4 linked regions of the Arabidopsis thaliana genome follow. The protein of the gene in region 3 interacts with the protein of the main gene of each other region in a pairwise test. Each region holds a gene or a part of one and is shown on either strand. Other genes may lie near its edges. The genes, in order: GATA6, ZAT11, ETC2 and AT5G26630.

The links.
Region 1: the proteins of ETC2 (region 3) and GATA6 interact in a two-hybrid assay, tested with the Arabidopsis thaliana proteins (one large-scale study listed by BioGRID).
Region 2: the proteins of ETC2 (region 3) and ZAT11 interact in a two-hybrid assay, tested with the Arabidopsis thaliana proteins (one large-scale study listed by BioGRID).
Region 4: the proteins of ETC2 (region 3) and AT5G26630 interact in a two-hybrid assay, tested with the Arabidopsis thaliana proteins (one large-scale study listed by BioGRID).

Annotation. Positions count from the first base shown.
Region 1 is NC_003074.8:18,970,601-18,976,488, reverse strand, and holds GATA6 (GATA transcription factor 6), read right to left. Parts: upstream 3,364-5,888; 5' UTR 3,149-3,363; intron 2,857-3,148; 5' UTR 2,851-2,856; coding exon 2,593-2,850; intron 2,502-2,592; coding exon 1,821-2,501; 3' UTR 1,597-1,820; downstream 1-1,596. Other genes in the region: AT3G51070 (S-adenosyl-L-methionine-dependent methyltransferases superfamily protein), read right to left, coding at 4,198-4,405, 4,488-4,682, 4,765-5,037, 5,128-5,302, 5,393-5,774, 5,878-5,888. UniProt on the Arabidopsis thaliana protein: Transcriptional activator that specifically binds 5'-GATA-3' or 5'-GAT-3' motifs within gene promoters. May be involved in the regulation of some light-responsive genes.
Region 2 is NC_003071.7:15,703,753-15,708,587, reverse strand, and holds ZAT11 (C2H2 and C2HC zinc fingers superfamily protein), read right to left. Parts: upstream 2,304-4,835; 5' UTR 2,135-2,303; coding exon 1,598-2,134; 3' UTR 1,364-1,597; downstream 1-1,363. Other genes in the region: AT2G37420 (ATP binding microtubule motor family protein), read right to left, coding at 3,423-3,617, 3,702-3,853, 3,928-4,037, 4,113-4,214, 4,305-4,510, 4,599-4,682, 4,766-4,835. UniProt on the Arabidopsis thaliana protein: Probable transcription factor that may be involved in stress responses.
Region 3 is NC_003071.7:12,959,276-12,964,466, reverse strand, and holds ETC2 (Homeodomain-like superfamily protein), read left to right. Parts: upstream 1-2,304; 5' UTR 2,305-2,551; coding exon 2,552-2,636; intron 2,637-2,739; coding exon 2,740-2,827; intron 2,828-3,364; coding exon 3,365-3,530; 3' UTR 3,531-3,620; downstream 3,621-5,191. Other genes in the region: KIS (tubulin folding cofactor A (KIESEL)), read right to left, coding at 3,915-4,016, 4,285-4,371, 4,503-4,655. UniProt on the Arabidopsis thaliana protein: MYB-type transcription factor involved in epidermal cell fate specification. Acts as a negative regulator of trichome development, by mediating lateral inhibition.
Region 4 is NC_003076.8:9,348,338-9,353,291, forward strand, and holds AT5G26630 (MADS-box transcription factor family protein), read left to right. Parts: upstream 1-2,474; 5' UTR 2,475-2,477; coding exon 2,478-3,134; 3' UTR 3,135-3,283; downstream 3,284-4,954.

The sequences.
Region 1 (5,888 bases), on a different chromosome or scaffold from region 3:
GAATACATTATGCAAGTTTGAACTTAGATACTAGTGATATGGTGCGATAACGACATTAAAACAAATTATTAACCCTAGCACAAAATATATAGTGAGGAATACCAAATTATTATTATTGATTAATGACAATGCTATCTATCAGTCTACCAAAATGGAGTTTAAAAAATAACTATCGCATTTTCAATAACTATCGAAAGGGAACCAACGGGATCATGACGTTGAAATATTAACAAACTTAAATAATGAAGTAGATCAAATGGATGTCGAATGTCCCCATGTGGCCATGTCTTAGTGTCATGTATTAAAATTTCGAACGGTTTCATATTCTCTCCAAGGTTAAAGAGATTATATGTTTTACCGTAGATACAACATTAAAGGAGGTTCAGAGAAAGCAGCGAAACAAAACGACATATGACTTTTAAAGCTCTAAATATGACCAGTCATTATTAAAATCTGAAACTACGACTACCACGAACAATAATCAAGTTAATACAAACTAAAAGTTCAAAATAATTAATCAGAAAGTACTTGATGCTAAAACTGAACCGGGTCAGATCCTAATTATGTTCCCTATTTCTTCAAAAACTCGGCACAACCTGAACCAGCGGGTTTAAATCAAGTTTATCAGCCTTGTCGAACATCTTCTTAATTCCGTTGTACACATCTCAATGAATTTAACAGTGGTGATTAGAATGGAGCCCACTCGAAACTCTACCACGCATTGCACAACGTCTACAATCCGAATGGTCAAAAATGTAATGTGTATATATAAAGTAAAAACCAAAATGTATACCTTCAACGTAGAAATAGTAATTTCTCAAACTTTTAATGTTTATGCTTCTTGTGTAATTTTCCCTTAAATATAGCCAAAAGAAAAACATATGATTTGTTATTAAAAAATTAGCAAATTAAAAAAGAGTATGATCTCACTTTTGAAATCAGGAGACGTTTTCATCGTTGTGAAGGAGAAAGCTAAGCGTGTGAGACGAATGTTAAAACTAGTATATATATATTCGAATTGTTTAGTTAGTTACATATTATGCAGCATTTACGAAACACGTACTAAAAGCTATTATTAATAGTCAACTCAACTAAAACCATACGAGGAATAAAGTCCCAAGGTAAATTGGTAATTCGTGATAATCTCAAAGATATGGTCAACGAATATTATCACATTGCAAAAATGGATAATATTATCACGTCAACTAAGGTCGTATTCAATCTCCAAAAATACGCAGAGTAATAAATTAGTCAATAAGAGAGTGTGCCCAGTACGTTTATTTTTCTTTTTTCAGTTATTGTATATATTTTTATTTGTGAAATTTGTTTTTTTTTTCAGTTATATTATGTCAATTTTAGAAATACAAGAGAAAATGTGATGGATATAAATAAGTAACAACAAAAAATTGGAGTTACTAACCCTGAAATAAAGCCTACTCCTAATTTGGTATAAATTGATCTCATATTTTATACACTTGATAACTATCAGTCTACCAATAATTATTGAGCATACATTCTAACTAGAAAATGAACCATCTCTATCAATTAATATAAAAACTATATATTATAACGTAAATATAACGTTAGAGGAGGTTAAGAAAAAAAGAATTCTGAAAATTAATGCGAAACAAAACAAATATAATAGTAAGAGTTTTAAAAGTTTTAACCAGTTACTAAATCTAAAAACCTACTACGACTAACAAACAAAAAATCAAATTTGTAATTTAAAACATACATAACCCGTTAACATACTAACTGGTGATAAATCTGAACCGGGTCGGATCCTAATTCTGCTCCTTTAAAAACCTTCCACAATTTCTTCAAAAACTCGAGACAACCTGAACCGTCTGAACCGGCTGGTTCAAACCGGTTTCTTCAGCACCGTCAGAAGTCTCTTTCTTCCTACGCATCTCAATGACTTTACTGTGGTGGTTTGAGTGAAGCTCACTCGAAAATGTTGGGCTACAAGCGGGTCTATATTCGGGTAGTAACCGACCCGATTTGTAACGCACACCACACGCATTACACAACGTCTTCGCTCCTAATGGTCCTGCTCTCCACTGCGGCGTTTTCTGAACTCCACAATGACCACACTGCCGCGTCTGCGTCTGCGTTTGCGTTTGCGTCTGACCAGCGTTTTTCCAAACTTTCTTCTTCTTTTGTGTTTTAGTCATTGGCTCATCAAGAAACTGACCGCTGGCGAGCCATAGAGGGCTTGAAGGACGAGGAGAGGACGACGAAGATGTTGTAGAGCTTGAAGATGAGTCGGTTAACGACTGCGAACCATGAGACCAGACTCTGACTCCGGTTCTGGCTCGTTTGGGTCTGGTTTTGACGGCCGGATGTTGGGATTTGAAGCAGGTCTCCTCTTTAACCGGTTGTACAAGATGTCTCCGATTTCCGGTTAACCAAACCGGTTTATTCGTCGGAGCAGAATACGGCGTGAAAGAAGAATCATCTACGAAATTTGATAACCATTCAAGTTCCGCTATATCATCCATCTAACAATCAAAACATGAAAAGCAAGAAATTAACAATGCAATGACTGATAATTTTTATAAATTTTGCGAAAATGAAAACACAAATTCATACCGGAACGGAAAGCCCGCTAGTGTGGAAATCAGCGGTGGAGAAATCGTTGCTCCGGTGAAGGGTATTTTCGTCAGAGACTCCTCTTTTTCGTTGTACTTTCAATTCAGCCTCATCCTCAACCAAAACGTCGTCGTCTTCTTCTTCTTTTGAGAAGTCAAGCAAGTCGTCGACGGAGAAATCATCGCCATTTTGAGCGCCGCCGGTTAGGGTTTTGTCTTTCATGTTACTGTTCTTCAACGTCAATTCAACACTCTCCATTATTTCCTATCAAACCCCACCAACACAAATTAGGTTTTCTTCTTTTCTTTTGGCTTCCTCAGAATTATCAAAAACTCTCCAAAAATTATCTTTAAAAAAAAAACTCCCCCCGAAAAAAAAAACGTTCCTTTATTTTTCCAAATTCAAACAGAAAAACCCAAAAGAAAAATCACGAAAACCCAGAACCACAACTTGGTGAAACGAACCATGATTTGACTAAGCCACAGATAAAAATTCAATCTTTTTCAAACAATGTGACGAGTAAGTAACCTTCAAAAAAAACTAAAATTGGAATTACCTGAGATGAGAAGAGACAGAGAGTGAAGAGAGGAGATATGTCGGTGAATGAGAAGAAGAAGAAGAGTGGTGAGAATTTAGAAGAAGAGGTGAGTTTGGTAAAGCATTGAATATGATAGTGACTCCAGACCAAAGCCCTCTTCTCCTAAAACTAAAAAAGTTGTGAGTTTCTCTTCTTTATTCTTTCTCAATCTCTTATTTTCCCAAGAACCAAAAAAAAAAGATAAAAATTGAAATATTTTGCTTTGGTGGGAACTATTTTTTTTTACCTTTTTACTCAACCGGCAAAAATTCATAAAAATGTCTACTTTTTGTAAATTCAAAGCGTACATACGCGCTACTGTGAAACGAGAGATGACTGAAAAAAGAACGGTCTCGTTTTCGTTACCCAATCACATACATATTTGGGCTGTATTGGGCTATGTTGGGCTGGGCTTTCTGAAATTTTACGATTTGGGTATCTCATTAACAATGGCTTTTCTCCTCCCGTCTTCTTCAATTCAAAACTGTTTGTGATGATTACTCAGCGATATGCGATTAAAAGCTTCAAATTTGCAGAAACCCATCTTCTTCAGCTCCTACTCTGCCCATGATGTCAGATTCTCTTCTTTCTTAACCTCTCTTTTGAATTCATATGTGGGCTTAAGATTGTTGGTTTCATTTCATGTCTACTTTATTCCTTTTGTAATTTGACTTTTCGCTACCTGTCAATAGCTTATGGTGAATTTGGCTTGTGGTATCGCTAAAGCATCATAATCTCTTCTTCATTACTGCTATGTTTCTACTTGTTGGAACAAAATTTCATTTATTGGTGTGCCTTACTTTTCCCAGTGAAATGATTCATAGCCTTACAAGAGAATATCATAACCATGTTAAAAAAAGCAATATGAAGTAAGGAAAACAAAAATGTTCTAATTAGTCTATATAGTTTAAGAAGACTAAAGCTATTTCTTATACTGACAAATTCTTTTGGGGATTATAGATATGAGTAGTGTGTTGTATTATAATGATGCTTCTGCTACTTTCAAATGCAGATTCTCAGAGCGTCTTTCATTGAGAAGTTTCTGGTCTCCAGAATCCTTTTTGTGCACTTAAGATTCCTTCTTGGTGTTTGGAGAAAGTTAAGTGAACATCCCAGTGCAGTGACTTCAACATGTTCTCAACTTCTCTTATCACATTTGATTCGTCACGAACTATTAGTTTACCTCCTGGTCTTACTATTCTATCCACTTCTGCCATTACTGGAACAAGATTGCACCTTTCAAAACAAAACAAAACAAGAGACTTATTGTTGATGAAACGTTACCAAAAGGTGTGGATATTATGAGTTACGCTTATACCTTGTTCTCAACTTTGAGAAAAGATGATCTGCATGTAAGAGATCATAGCTTCGAGGGTATGTGCTAAATGATTCACACCAGTCATGATATATTCCGAATAGGCCTCTCTCGTAGATTATCGGTAGTGTATCTGGTGAATTTATGTTTACTACATTCATTACCCACACCTGTAGGTCCTTCAGAGCTGCTGCAAACCTGCATTTTTACGTAGTTAGTAAAAAAAGGTTTAGTTTTGGTAAGTGAGATTTTAGTTTGATTTGTTTTCGTTGATGCTCACCCTCCGTAGACAGCTCGCATGTCCATTACATTCCTCACATTTGACCAGCTGATTCCTATTTCATTCATGTATACTTTGCTTACAACATGTTTCCAGTGTTCATAATCTGTAGTGAAATCTCGAGGAGCTGGTTTCCCATATATCCCCATTTGAGAGCTGTTTAACCAGTAAGGCGGTGTTTGAAGCCGACGGGGCCAATTCACGGGCCACTTGCTTCCTCTCTCGACCACATTGGTAGGAACTTTATGCATACATGCTTGTAGGGGTACATACCTGAAATTTCCATTCAAGTTTTGACTTTCTTTGTTCTGTTAAAACCTTATGGTTATTCATTCCCTATGCAAATTGTGGAAACAATCATACCAGGCTGCATTTGCATCGTCGTTGTTTTTGCACAGTGGAGGCTTGTTGTGCTTTCTTTTCTCGTAACATTCATTGGTGGCAGGTTTCTGGTAGATTGCAGCACCAATACCATTGAGTTTATCCTTGTTGATTGTCACAAGTTCCCAGCACAAGGATTTTGTCAACGCGGACATTTCTACATCACTCAAAACATCTCAGGTTCAGTGAAACAAACAAAAGAAGGAGGAACTCTAGTTAAGTTCAAGCATTTTACTTTAGTCATTACCTTTCCAGATTTGAACATCTTCTTCAAGCTTCTGGTAGACTGGTGTTGCTGACCAGACAAAATAACCTCCAGGCCTAAGCATCCGATTAAGTTCCAGAAGAAGCATACCACCCTCATTATGCCATGGGACTCTACAACGTGCACAGTGGATAAGATCAAACACTCTGCTCGGGAATGGCAGTCGCTTAGAGCCCATAACTGCTGAGATGGCTGGAATCTTTCTTTCAAGAGCAAACTGGACTTGAGCCTCGTGTTCATCTTTTGGTGCAAGAGACATTGCTATAACATCTCTTTCAAAGAGGAAACCGCCAAAGCTCGCCACTCCACATCCAACATCCAATATGACCCGAGTACGTTTACCCCACGCAATGTTTTTCAAAGACTGCCATAGTAGAAAAAAGGAACCATTATATTCTGCATAAAATTTCTATCTTTTACTTGTTGCAGTTTTAACACTATACTGAAATCAAGAAATGAGTGTTCACCTGCTGAAGAA
Region 2 (4,835 bases), 2.7 Mb from region 3:
TACATTAATAATAATACGTAGATTTTAGATATCACTAATCTACAAAAATGGAAGGAAAAACTGTTTACCACGTCATCAGTTGCTCGAACTTTTCCTTTCACTTTTGTTGTATTTCTTCTCTTATCTATCATCTCTACACTGTGAAGAACAACACAAAACGTACGAGATCTGCACTAATATGTTGTATCTAAAAATCCAAAGGTTAAAAGAGATGAAAACCATATGAGACAAAAGTTGTAAGCATTCAGAATCATAAAACTAGTGTATAACACAAAAGTTGCATTTTTATTGTATACAAAAACTATCTAAGTAATGAATTAGGCAAAATAATGAATCAAGCGAAATAATGAATGAGGCGAAAAAATGAAAATAAAATCCACACACAAACACATGATCTAGCATCTATATACTGATTTTTTCTGGCTATTTTAATGTATTTGACGAAATAATGATGAAGATTTAAAGAACTGAGATGATAAAATTCATTTTATATTAAATCTAATTAATAAACACGCGCTGGAGAAAAACCTAAAAGGAATGAGAGAAAGTATCTTACAAACACGGCGATGTAGTGCTTTAAGTGTTGAAAGGCGTTAAAAAACATAAATTAAACCTTGAGAAGCCGAAAGACGGAAGCAGAAATGCAGAAGCAGAAATTAAGGTTTTCCCACATAATTATGTACATTTTACCTGGCGACCTATAGCTATAAATCCTATAACTGTGTCTTACACCTATTTTTTAGATGTAACTAAAAGAAATAGAAGCAAAATATATAACAGACTGTACAATGACATTAGAGTAAGAAAAACAAGTTACATTCTTTATTTTTACTGCCATTAAAGAACAAGTTATACTGAAGAGCTATAAGAGTTAAAAACTCATGCATTGTTTTAATTCCGAACGGTCATTCTTCTCTTTTTTTTCGATTTGTTTTCTTCTTTTTGTCAAAATTGAATGGAAATTAATTAAACTGAAGAAATTAATTAGATATTTTTACACTAGTGATGACGAGTTGACGACAATATAATTTAGGTAACTAGAGAGGATCAAGCTTGTTATAAATTTATAATATCTAACATCAAAACTAAAGCCACTGAAAAAAATGATAATAATCAAAGCATGTCATATCCTAAATTACATGATGATGGCAAAAATAAGAAATATCCGACGATAGTGATGACGACAATAGAATTTTGCAATTGTCTAGAGAAAAATCATCTAATATAAATTCAAGCCATTGGCAAAAAAATGATAAACGTAATATATTCAGGATCCTTTGTTGCATATCATACATGCCAAGGCAAAAGGAATATGTTTCCAATTCCATAGGGGATATGGCCCAAAATTTGGCCCGCTTATGAATATGTTGTACTTGTTCCAGGAATGGAAACTAAATAATTTAGTTTAAAATCTTTTTCTAGCGTACATGATAACCAAGAACGCACATATGAATATACTATATAGGGAGTAGGGACCCCACACATATACCATGAAGTTTGTTGACATTAACGTTTGAAGAATTAAAAGAATAGGAATTACAATACAAATGAATCATTTTTGGGACAAATGTCTTCTTAAAGATAAAGAAAAAAAAAACTAAAGAACGAACTTCATATCTATTTTTGGGACAAATGTCTTCCCAAAGATATATTCAAGATCATTCTCTAACGGAGTCAGATTCAAATCCAAACTCAAAATCCTCTTACTACTACCGCATCGTTTCAAAACCGGCATGGATGGAATCATCGGAGAGATGAACGATGGCTCGACCGTCATGCTTGACCTATGCCGTCTCATGTGACCACCTAAAGCCTGTCCGGTCCCAAAACTCTGACTGCATATGGAACACTTGTGAAAATGATTTCCTTTATAATCGTTGCTAAGATGTTTCACATCTTTCTGCTCAACGGTGAGCTTTGGCTTCTTATGGCTTGCCCGGTGGCCACCAAGGGCTTGAAACGAAGAAAATCTCTTGTTACATGTTTTGCATTCGAATTGGTTGCTTGTATGGCTCTCGGTATGTTGGTTCAAACCGATCTGTTTGACCATGGAGGTTTGTGCTAGTATCATCAGACATTTAGCAATGTCAATATTCTTGAGGGATTCTTCGAAATCAGATCTTTCTCTCTTCATACTTCTTTGAGAATTAAGATCTGAGAGGGTTACAAAACAAAACAAAAATAAAGTAAAGGTTGGAGTTTTTGCTTGTTAGAAAAGAAACCTGAATTGAGAGGATTTGTAATGAAGGTTGAGAACTTAGAAGTAATGTATATTTATATAAGAGCAATTACCTAAAAGGTTGGACTTTCTAGTAGTTTGACCAAAAGAAGTCGTCTAAACTAATATTCTATCTAACACAACTACCAGAGCACTGATTCTCTGACTTGAGACAAGTTGACATTTTCAATATCACCCTTCGACCGCCGGCACAATGCATACCACGGGTGTTGAATAACAAGGGTAATATCGTCTTTCCCGTAATACATCACATAGTTCTCATTTCTTAGAAACTTCTACTGCTAAAAATGTGAATCTAACAAAAGTAGCATAGTCAACACATGTGTACACAACACAGAATAAATCAAGCAACTTGGTTTCTCATGGACTTGCTTGCCACAGGCATAACTTAATAATTTATATCAACACCTAACCAACTGTATCCTAATCAAAAAATATAAAATTAAGGATTTCAATGTACTTTAGACTAATCATTGGAAAATACAGCCTTAAAGAGCTCTAAATAAGTAATTCTTCCCCTTTGGTAAACTGTTTTTTCATATTTTATTGTATAGTAAAAAAAAAACTACATTCTTCAAGACTTTTTTTTTATAAAAAAATAAATCTTCAAACTTGCGCAAAGCTAAAATACAAAAGTAATCTTCAGATCCAAGTTCGAATACAATCATTACCTTGTTCGAAGAGAAAATTCAATTTGGTCAAACACATGCACTAGAGACCAAACAAAAGCCTTTTTGATACATTGTTCATCTAGATAGTAATAAGAGCTCAATACTGAAATCGTCACCAGTGACGGATTCTTGACGACAGCAATTGAATTTTATGGAAGAGCAAGTCAAAGTAAAAAAAAAAGTGGTAAATTAGACTATTAGAGGTATGTGCTTATTCTTGACTTTATTATGTTTTCTTGTGGAAGCAATGCAAAGTCTTGTGTTCTTTTTGTTCTCTCTTTACTTTTCTTTTTTTTCATATTTGGTTGACTCAAATGAGAAAATAAGCCAATTTAACCGGAAACGTCATCCATAAAATCTAAAATTTCAGCAATCTGCATACCGGTTTAATGTCAAAATATAACCAGATTTATCCATGACAACATAAGCTTGCGTACTACTACATAACAACCTTTACACAGTCTTAATCTTCTACACTCATCCAGCTGATGAACATAAGCTTTCTTTTTTACTCATTTGTTTACTTCCAAGAATGGAGTTCTGTTGTTAGCTTCGCCAAGTCCTTGTTTTGTTGATATTTTCTCCAAACTTGTGTGTTCTTCGCTGAGAGTATTCTGCGAAAACAAAGTCCTCATCTCCTCAATCGAATCCAGGCTTGGCACATTTATGGATTGTTTCTTTGGTGTTTCGTTCTTGTGCTGATCAACCTGTTCATTTTATCCAAAGCTTTGCTGTTAATGTATACACATATAGATCACACTATAGATTTTCCATTATGATTGCTTAAGTACCTGATAGTCTTTTATGAGAGACTGTTCTGCTTTGTTTCTAATGTTTGAAACAGCTTGTCCATGATTCTCCTGCAATAATGTGACCTGGTTCATGCAAGTCTCTACTATAGCCTCTGTTGTTTCTTTGTTCTCACGGTCTTGCATCAATGAGTCTGTAAAACCAAGGATTAGGACGTTTTTGAGTAGTTCTTGAGTAGGGAATGGAACAGAGGTTTAGTGTGGTTACCATTAACAGCTGCGTGAAGTTCATTTGTCCTAGAGACAAAGTTAGCATCCATTGAGGAAAATGTGGATGTAAATTCATCTTGCACCTTCTCATTTTCTTTTGCCATGTCCCTATACGTAGATAGTTTATTCAGTGAAATGATGTGGAAACAGAGAGATGCACGGATACAGAAGTTAAAAACTTACTCCATTGTGACATTAAGTTCTTGTTGATACTTCGTGTTAAGGTTCTTTATGCCTGTTTCAGTGGTCTCCCACAATGTTTTAGAATCATTGGCCCTTCCCAAGCTGCAATAAATACAATCTTTGTATGAGAAGACATAATGCAAATTAAGTGAGAGGTTTGAATAGAAAGCAGTGGGGAGATGGAATTTATACCAATCTTCAAGGTAACTATCCATGACTGTGATAGACTCAGCTGAAGCTATTGTGTTTTCCGTGAAGTGAGTTTTCTCTTTCTTTAGATAGTCACACAATTCTTCCTTTGCACCAATCGAGACTTGCTGCATACCAGACATTTGTTCATACAATCTCTTCTCTTCCTGTATGTCATGTTCCCGGATATTGCTTGATGCATCAGAAATCTAGAAACACATAGAGCATCAGTCTTTAAGTTTGATTCAACTGATGAATAAAACAAGCCTAAGGGGGTTATAATGGTTAAAGACTCACCATTGCAGTTTTCTTTGAAGTTAACTTTGATAATATCAGACTGATATCATTTAAGGCTTGTTTCTCCTCTCTTTCAGCCTCTTCCTGTTTTCATCAAAACGGATGAGTTTGTGCGAACCTCTCAGAACATATATAATTGAAGTCTTTAAGAGTTTGTCCCAGCTCACCTTAAACTTCATTTCAAAAGCATCAAGCTGTCTTGATTTCTCTGCTTGGCTTGCTCTAATGGCTTCCACC
Region 3 (5,191 bases):
TGAGTAGAACAAAACTTCGATCGATATTTATTCTTCTCATCAATGGTTGTCTAAGTTATTGTCAATTCTACAAGTTGTGCCACTCGTCTTGTTCCAACTATACATTTTGTAACTCCGTCAAAAATATTGATAGGAAAAAATAATGATTAAACGAGGATATTTTGAAGTTAGTAGATAGCAAAGAAAGAAGATTAATAAAATTCCTAGTGTCATAAATTATCGTGAAATTTAGCGTTTACCATTCCGACAAAGATGAAGGACCACTCACACACACCTTACACTCAGATGGTATAATCATTCATCTTCTCGAGCTACCTCTATTCTTGTCTTTAATTAACTTCTGGCCCTTCCTTTCCTCCGCCATTTAAATTATAATTCCACTTGCAATTCATTTGTGTTTAAGAGTTAATTTACGGTTAAGAAAGAGTTCTGACGATGGAAAATGTTTTAACTAACATGCAAGTAAGGAGTTGTATAAGCTAATATAAGACTCCTAACTCCTTACGTGCATCATAAAAGTATGGGGATCCCTAAAAGAATGCATGAGTTACTTAAGGTTAATTCCACCCACATGCTATCACCATAATTAACAAACCACTCTCAATCAATACTATCAAATCACATAATCTCATGCTTAAGAGTTAAGACACCTAAATCGTTCATACAATCATGCTCACATTCACATATCATATACATTCAATTTCATGCACATGTTCGTATGCACTATTGTTCGTAACCACTTAGCTATCTCAACCATCCATCATTTCACTATCTTAACCATCGAGCCCTCAGATATAATGCTTGGCATCTCTCCATCTCTTAGTCATCTTGACCCTCAAACTTATCTGATTCTCAAGATAGTGAGAGCTCAGGACTCATAATATAGGAGTTTTAGATTTTGCTCACCATATTGGGCCATTAAGCCCTGTTTCCTTTTTTAGTCCAATCAGATCCTATAATTCCAGTGTATACCAAGCTTCCTGATCTTTAAACACTTTTAGGCAAATATAATTTCTTGTCCTTTCTTACTTAGAACCATTCTTCACATGAGAACCATCATTTGTGTATATATATTAATAACTTTCAAAACCTTAATAATGATCACGACATAAAATCTTTATAATGAGAGCGGGTCATTACAGGTGAACTCCTTTGTCCGTCATATCAGCCGTCTTAGAAGCTCGTATGTGCCCAATACTCTCAGGACCAGCCCTGAGCTCGTATGCATTAATTACTGATCTGGTTTTAAAATTTGTATATATACGTACATAGCCATATGGGATACTTCAAATGTATGATTTTGTCTCGACAGCTTTTACAAGTTTAGTCGAAGTGACCAGACAACAGCTGCAATCCGAAAGCATGTTTCAATGAAGTCGTTCTAGTCCATGACTGAAAATTTGTTATACTGAATGTTGTCGATAACTTTCCTTTTGTTAACGAATGCTTGTCGATAAATTTATATATATCCAGTATTATGATCACATAATGATAAATTAGAGGAATTTCATATTTTTGAATTGGTCTTAGCTAATACGTACCACGTAGGATCAATTTTCTCCTAACCTACTTCTTTAATATATAGTGGGTAAAATCATAAATGGTTCATTCTGATTTCACGCTGAGAAAATGATATGCTCATTATATAAGTACCGATTTCTCTAAGACAACTTTCAATCTGTCAGGAAAAGAAATTGATACGTCCGTTTCTTACAGTTACTGCATTTATTATCACTGAGACGATAATTGAGTTCTGTAGATGCATAAATAGGAATTATCTGTAGGGCATGCATATGTAAAATTAGACACACACAAAAAAATCTAAAGAGAAAAAAGCACAAGAAAACAAAAGTTTTGTTGGATTTTGCTAGTATTATTTACGACCCACAAATCTATATCACAACACGAAATTAACGGTTTATGGACTTTTTTTGTCCAATTTTCACGAAGTCGAAAATTTCGGGGAAAAAATTTCACCTAATGTTATTGGAGAACTGTAAAATAAAATTATAGATTATGTACATCCACATTCCACAGCCATCTCCGTCCGTAAAAATTTCTAAAATATAAAAAGAAAAACTGTGATTTTAAATTAGAACTTGTAGGATTACGTGTTCATAATATTTATTGAGAAGTGTATTTGCATGTGATGTTTTTCACTCGATTTTAATACGTTACTAGGCAAAAAAATAAAACTAGCACGCCATTTTAGTGACTGTTAAAATGTTCTGTTATAGGTCAGAAACAAAATCTGATCAAAATTTATTGTGAGCATTATGAACTTTTTGGAATAGTAAAAAACAAATCGAACGTATCACGAAATTATGTTTTGACGTATTCGATCGGGATATATAAAAACAAAAATGTGAATTATAAATTTAGGAATATATACGTAGAAATTCCAATAAAAAATAAATCACCTATCTCTCTCTCTCTCTTTTTATATAACTATTTTTTTCCCTCACATCTTTTCTATATCTTGCATTCTCCAAACTCTACATTTTCAGTTTCTCTGTAAATTTATCTAATATTCTTCTATTTTCCAGTAGTTATGGATAATACCAACCGTCTTCGTCTTCGTCGCGGTCCCAGTCTTAGGCAAACTAAGTTCACTCGATCCCGATATGACTCTGAAGGTCTCTCTTCAATTCATTACTCTACACTCATCCTCCTAACTCGTCAGCGTTAAATTATCTTCTCATTTAATTTTTGTTTGGATAAAACGAAACAAAAATGCAGAAGTGAGTAGCATCGAATGGGAGTTTATCAGTATGACCGAACAAGAAGAAGATCTCATCTCTCGAATGTACAGACTTGTCGGTAATAGGTAACAAATTCTCTTCTTCTGTCATGTCCGATTCAACATATTTTAAAAACAACTAGTATTTTATAAAATTAAAAAAAAAAAAAAAAAAACTAGTATTTTATAATTTAAAAAAAATTCACATGGCGAGAGTAACAAATCAAAGCTGATAAAGTGTTATGTTATGGTAAACATGATTCTAGAGTAGTTTAGACTTTCGAACGTGTTTCGAGAAAAATGACATGCCAATATTTAAGCAATGACATGAGTATTTTACTTGTATAATTTCAAAAAAAGTTTTATGTTGTTGATAAACTGATAAAATGTATAATTAACAGAAACTAAAATTTCTTCTTTTCTTAAAGTGTGATGATTTTAAAAACAGTGAAAGGATTGAATAATATATTGGCTCTTGAATATTATTGTCTTTATATATATACATTTTAAATTTCATTTCTGCATTATATATGTTGACTCCTGAATTTTGATAAATGTTTTTTCAGAATTTTGTGCTCGTCTATAATTCAAAAACACATTATATGCTTGAATATTGATTGTCAGGTGGGATTTAATAGCAGGAAGAGTCGTAGGAAGAAAGGCAAATGAGATTGAGAGATACTGGATTATGAGAAACTCTGACTATTTTTCTCACAAACGACGACGTCTTAATAATTCTCCCTTTTTTTCTACTTCTCCTCTTAATCTCCAAGAAAATCTAAAATTGTAAAGAAATCAAAATAAAAGCTTTCAATCATAAAAGTAGAACAAATCTTGAATGTCTTCTCATCATATAAATGGTTCAGAAATTGTTGAATCTCTTCGCAAAACAAATTAGAATAAGATCACCTTTTCTAAATCCGTGCTCTTAATCTTCACTTAGTTTACAATCATGGTTGTCAAAGTTATATCAATTATCAATCGTTAAGTTGCAGCTTACAACACATTATAGCAAGTGTGCCATTTCAAAGATATTGAATGAAAGAACAATCACCAAAATGTTAAAGAAAGATATTTTTAGTGTATACAGTCGACAAGCAACCTTAGATATAAAGATTCTTACAGATGATTAACCATTCTCAGAATACAGATTTAACACTCATCGCTGGCTAAATCAGGCATCTTCAGTGGGAAACTGCTTCTCCACATCCGCGACTGTCTTCTTTGCATCTTCGATCTCTGGACCTTCCTTCTCATCCGTCTCTTCCAATTCCGCCTGCAAATTCAGTTTTCATTAGAGACAAAAGACAGAGTACGAATTCACAGTTTCCTCTGTGTCCTTATTCATCATTTTTCCTCAAAGAGAGACTAAGATGGTTTCATGCAGGGGATTAATCCAATCGCTATAGATACATATAAAAGTTATAGTTTGATAATGTACTACTGCTCTTAAACTTCAAATCACCGCTCAGCGTTTCTTATAAACTAATACATAAAGCTAGACCGACGCTTAGCAAGCAATAACAATGGAAAATGTAGTTTACCAAAGTGGACTTGAGGTCAGCCAATGCAGACTCGAGACGTTTGTGGCAATCCGGAATCATCATCCTAGACTCACCCAACACATTTTCCTGCATCACCACATACACAGATTAGGAAAAACCAAGTCTAAACACAGCACAACACAGCATTTCTAGATTCTGACGAACAAAGACGGGCTCCGAATCTTCGAATACAGAGAGATAAACAATGAAATCTGTACCTGTTGTTTAAGGTCGTAGGGATCAGCACCTTTGTCCTTCATATCAGCAGTCTTAGCCGCTTCTCTCTCAACTTCTTTCTCATAAGAGTGAAGCTCTTTCACAATCCTTTTACATGTTGATGTTTTTATCTTCAAGTTCCTTATCGTTGCCATTGGATTCTGAGCAAGTACCAAACACAGGACAACCAAAATTAGGGTTTCTACATCACCAGCGAAACAACTCAAACGCAACGATTCTATAACTAGGTTTTGCGATCTCCTTTAAACTTCGATGTCGAATTTGAAATTGAAATAGGGCGATTAGATCAAGACTAATGTAGGTGATAATTCTACGATTCGTGCATTGCAATAGATCGGGAACATTTTGGAATTCATCGATTTCTTTTACTTGATTCCGATCTACATTGAGATCGACACAAAGCTAGATTCGATTGAAAATTAAAGGAAGATATACTGTGAAATAGAAGAAGTAGGGTTTAGAAACGAACCAGGCGATGATGGGAGAAGAAGGTTGCTTCCGATGAATTTGAGAGAGAGGACGCGGCGTAGAGCGAGGAGGAATCGAAGAACAACAATATACAGTTTCCGATTTCGATTTCTTCTTTTTCCTTTGCTTTCAATTCTGAATTATTAAAAAAAAAACTTAATACTGGATATGCACTCACTTGTGTGCTCGCATTACGACATAA
Region 4 (4,954 bases), on a different chromosome or scaffold from region 3:
CAAAACAAAGAGATTGTGGTTAATATTTCATAAAATGGATGAACGAGAGTTGTTTACATCTTTTAGACACATAACAATCCTATTTATATCACTTTCCAAAGAAACCCTAACACACATAGGCTTACAATAACACACATTAGATTTGTTTTGGATTTGTGTTTAGCTTTTAATTCCCTTGAATGGTCTTACATAAATTAAAATTGCATGTAATACTGAGAGTCAATGAATTTACTCTGTTTTTGAGTTTGAAAACATTGTAACACTGAGAGTCCATGAAAAACCTGTGTTTGAAAAAACAAATACTAATTGCAGGCGCATTGATCAACTGATCTTATTCTGCCCTATATGAATCAGTTGAGAGTTGATAAGAAGAATCCTCATAAGAAACTACTAGAAAGTCATCAACATCACTAACCAAAATACTCTTGGGCTTTCCAAGTCCAATCTAACTTCCACATTAATATGATATTGTCCGTTTTGGGCTAAGTGGCTAAACCCTCACAATTTGTTTATTGGGCTCCTAAGGTTGAATAGTGGAATATAGATTTAAACAACTTCTTCAACAGGTTCAAGAAGATTTCTTTTAAAGTTTTAGATCTAAACAAATATGTGGAGACAACAAACAAAAATCCAACGTACTCGGAATAATCTGAAATTTGATAGCATGTTCGGGAGACGAGAACTAAGGGATCAAATTTTGGTTCAGATGGTGAAATGAACTAAGTCGTTTTAGGAGTTAATTCGTAAGCTTATTGAACTATGTTTGGTTAAAGTTACTAAGTTTAAATTTCTCGTTCTGTTTTTTAACCACATAATAACGAATATTTTACATAGAATAATATAGAGAGAGGATGAGGAAGAAAGTGAGAAAATAACGAGGAAGATGAAGATGAAGACTATAACGAAGAAGTGAACGAGAAAGTAATGATGACAACGGCTAAAAGAAAATTAATAATTAAGATGACAAGAATGAATATGAAAAGTAAGAAACAACGAATGTGAAGAGAAATACAAAGACATATGTGTTGACATTCAATTGAATATGAAAAAATAAAATTGATTTATGATTCTTTCAAATAAATTCGATTCTTAAACACTACTGATTTTTATAATTTTAATATAGTGTATTTGAAATAAAATTGAATTTTTACTTCGATTTAAAAAATATAATTAATTGTATGTATTTCTTACCGAAATATATCAAAAATACACACGTATAGCGTGGGTACAAAACCTAGTTACAAATACAAAGATTAAATATGTGGGCGAATCTAATTATTTTGAATGGTTTATAAATGCTAGTTCAAATCCACATGTTAGATTTTGAAAATTTCATGGCATTTTAAATTTTATATAGATTTCAAAATCTTTGGCAAAAGGTAATAATATAGATTTCCAAATTAATTAACATACACAAACTAATACTCCCTCTGTTTTGAAATAGTTTTCGTTTATGGTGTTTTTACAGAAATTAAAAAATCAATTTTTTTTTATTTTACCCTTGTTTAATATTTTTTTTATTGGTAATGACATAAAAACAATAAGAATATAATTGGAATTTTTACCAAACATCTACATTAAAAATCTAAACCGATAAATATTATCAAACAAAATTTTAATGCTAGAACGAAACCTAAACTAATACGGAAGGAGTAATATCCTCTTAAGAATGTTTTTTTTTTAAATTACTTCCGTAGTTACCCTTTAAAAACATTTTTTTAATTGATTCTTGACCTTTTTTGTTATACTTTGTTTGCAAAAAAAACTTAAAAAATCTTTATGAAAATGATTTTTCAGTCAAGATTACCCACCACAATATAAAGTAAAATCATCTAGATATATATTCTATGTATGTTCAAACTATGTAATATTTATCTTTATTATATGTAGATATGTTTTCCATACATATAACATTTCAGAAAAAATAATGATAAAAATATTTGTAAAGTAAATGTTTTCCACATAAGATATGTTTGGATAATTATTAGTAATAACAATTATTTTAAAAAATATTTTATGAACCAGATAAAGAATAGTCGTTCGGTCAACTGGTCATGGATAAAAACTATTTTAAAAACTCAGCACTATAAGACTATAAGTCTATAAGTCTTTTTGAACAAGTGTCAGTTCTTGTTATGCAAAATTTTGGTATTAAGAAGTAACTATACCCAAAAGTTAACAAGGACAATTATTCAGTTAAAGTGTAACTATACTTTTCACAAACAAACTAAAAAACTTGTAACTAGATTAGTAGACTCCTTAATTCCTAAGTAAAAAATAAAAAATTGAAAAAAAAATTTACTTCTAAACATATATATATTTCTTTCCATTATCGTATTACCAATTTTGATATCCCTAAAAAGGTATGATATATATATGGTTGAACTGAGATAAATTTTGCTTAATTCCAACAATCAGATCTTCTATATAAAAAGCACTTCTCCATTCAAAAGTATAACACACAAAAAAATAAAGTCATGACGAGACAGAAAGTGAAAATGACTTTCATAGAAAATGAAACAGCAAGAAAATCAACATTCAAGAAAAGAAAGAAAGGTCTTTTGAAGAAAGCTCAAGAGTTGGGAATTCTTTGTGGCGTCCCGATCTTTGCTGTCGTCAACAGTCCGTACGAGCTGAACCCGGAGGTGTGGCCATCGAGAGAGGCTGCGAACCAGGTGGTGTCCCAATGGAAGACGATGTCGGTGATGGACAAGACCAAGAAGATGGTGAACCAAGAGACCTTTCTCCAACAGAGGATCACCAAAGCAACCGAGTCTTGGAAGAAGTTGCGGAAAGAGAACAAAGAGTTGGAGATGAAGAACATTATGTTTGATTGTCTTAGTGGCAAAACTTTGGTTTCTAGTATCGAAAAAACTGAGCTTCGAGATTTTGGTTATGTCATTGAACAACAACTCAAAGATGTTAATCGTAGGATCGAGATTCTGAAAAGGAACAATGAACCATCTTCCGCCCTCGTTCCTGTTGCTGCCCCTACAACATCTAGTGTCATGCCTGTGGTTGAGATGGGTTCTTCTTCGGTTGGATTTTACGACAAGGTTCGAGATCAAATTCAAATTACTTTGAATATGAAACAGACCACAAATGATTTGGATCTGAACAAGAAACAGTGGTGAGCCATCGTTGATCTTATTTTAAGTTGTTGTCATTTCAACTATCAATAAAAAGTTATTGTTTTAGTTCTGTTTGTTTAAGTTACATGTTTGGGTTGGTTTCACATGTAGTTGTATTTTCTCATGAATGAAATTTATTTTTCTTTCGTTAATTAATGTTTTCTCCTTATATATAATCGTTATGAATAAATGCATGCATCATATCAGTTCTTAAAACATGTTTTCTATACAGTAATGGCACAAGAATTGCATTCTCTGAACATAAACACAAATGGAAACCAAGCCATTGTGTCCAGTCTCAAATATTTGTAATTTAGATCCATCACTTTTCGACAACCAAGCTCGTTCAAGATTTAAGAGGTTTAATTCTGTATAAAAGGTCGTGATTTAAGACTTAACACTCCATTAAGTTTGAATAACATTGAACTAATTGAGGTCAAGTAAACCTAAATAAGAATTTATTCGCCAAAAACAATATGTTGATAACTAGGTTTGGCAATAAAATATTCAGATTTTAAATTAGGATTTTTACTAGCCAAATTGCGTAAGTTGAGATTTTTATTGGGCAGAATACGTATAATTGATTTTGCCAAATGAGGGCCAACATTGATAAACTTAACACTCCATTAAGTTTGAATAACATTGAACAAATTGGGGTAAAGTAAACCTAAATAAGAATTTATTCGCCAAAAAAAATAAGTTGATAACTATTTCTGGCAGTAAAAATATTGAGATTTTGTATTGGCCAAATTGCGTAAGTTAGGATTTTTACATGCCAAATTCCGTAAGTTGGGATTTTGATAGGCTAGAATGCGTATAATTGATTTTGCCAAATTAGGGCCAACAGTAATCAAACTTAACACTACATTAAGTTTGACTAACATTGAACAAATTGGGATAAAATAAACCTAAATAAGAATTTATTCGCTAAAACAAATAAGTTGATAACTATTTTTAGCAGTAAAAATATTGAGATTTTGTATTAGCCAAATTGCGTAAGTTAGAATTCTTACAGGCCAAATTGCGTAAGTTGGACCGCCAAATTGTGTAAGTTGGACCGGCCAAATTGCGTAAGTTGGGATTTTGATAGACAAAATGCATATAATTGATTTTGCCAAATTAGAGCCAACATAATCAAACTTAACACCCCATAAAGTTTGAATAACATTGAACTAAATGAGGTAAAGTAAACCTAAATAAAAATTTATTTCCCAAAACAAATAAGTTGATAACTATTTTTTGCAATAAAAATATTCAAATTTTGTTTTCGCCAAATTGCGTAAGTTAAGATTTTTACTGACCAAATTGTGTAAGTTGTGATTATTATGGGTCAAAATGTGTATGTTGAGATTTTTTTTACCTTTTCTCATTTGACGAAGGTAATATAGTTAGTTGCTACAAAAATAGTTTTATTTTTAAAGTTATAATAGGGACAACTGTATTCTAAAATATAAAGTTTAATGAGTAATAGCCAAAGGTTTGCATAACCAAAATAGAATCTTGGTTTGAGTGGGTAATTATATTTTTTATAAAAAATTTTTTACTAGACTCCATAATTGCTATCTAAAAAATGATAATCATAGTCGAATCACGAATGGTAAACCTACTTTGTCAAAATAGTATACTCTCTTTGTTTCATATTAAAGGATGTTTTACATATTTTATTTAGGTTCACAATATAAGATGTTTTAGAAAATATATGTATAAGCATTTTAAAAAGTGACCAACTTATTCATTTTGACCAACTAAATCATCATTTTTAATTGATTTTTCTGAATTAGAGACAACGGTTTAAGTTTAAATTAAATTGAACTAATTCAGGT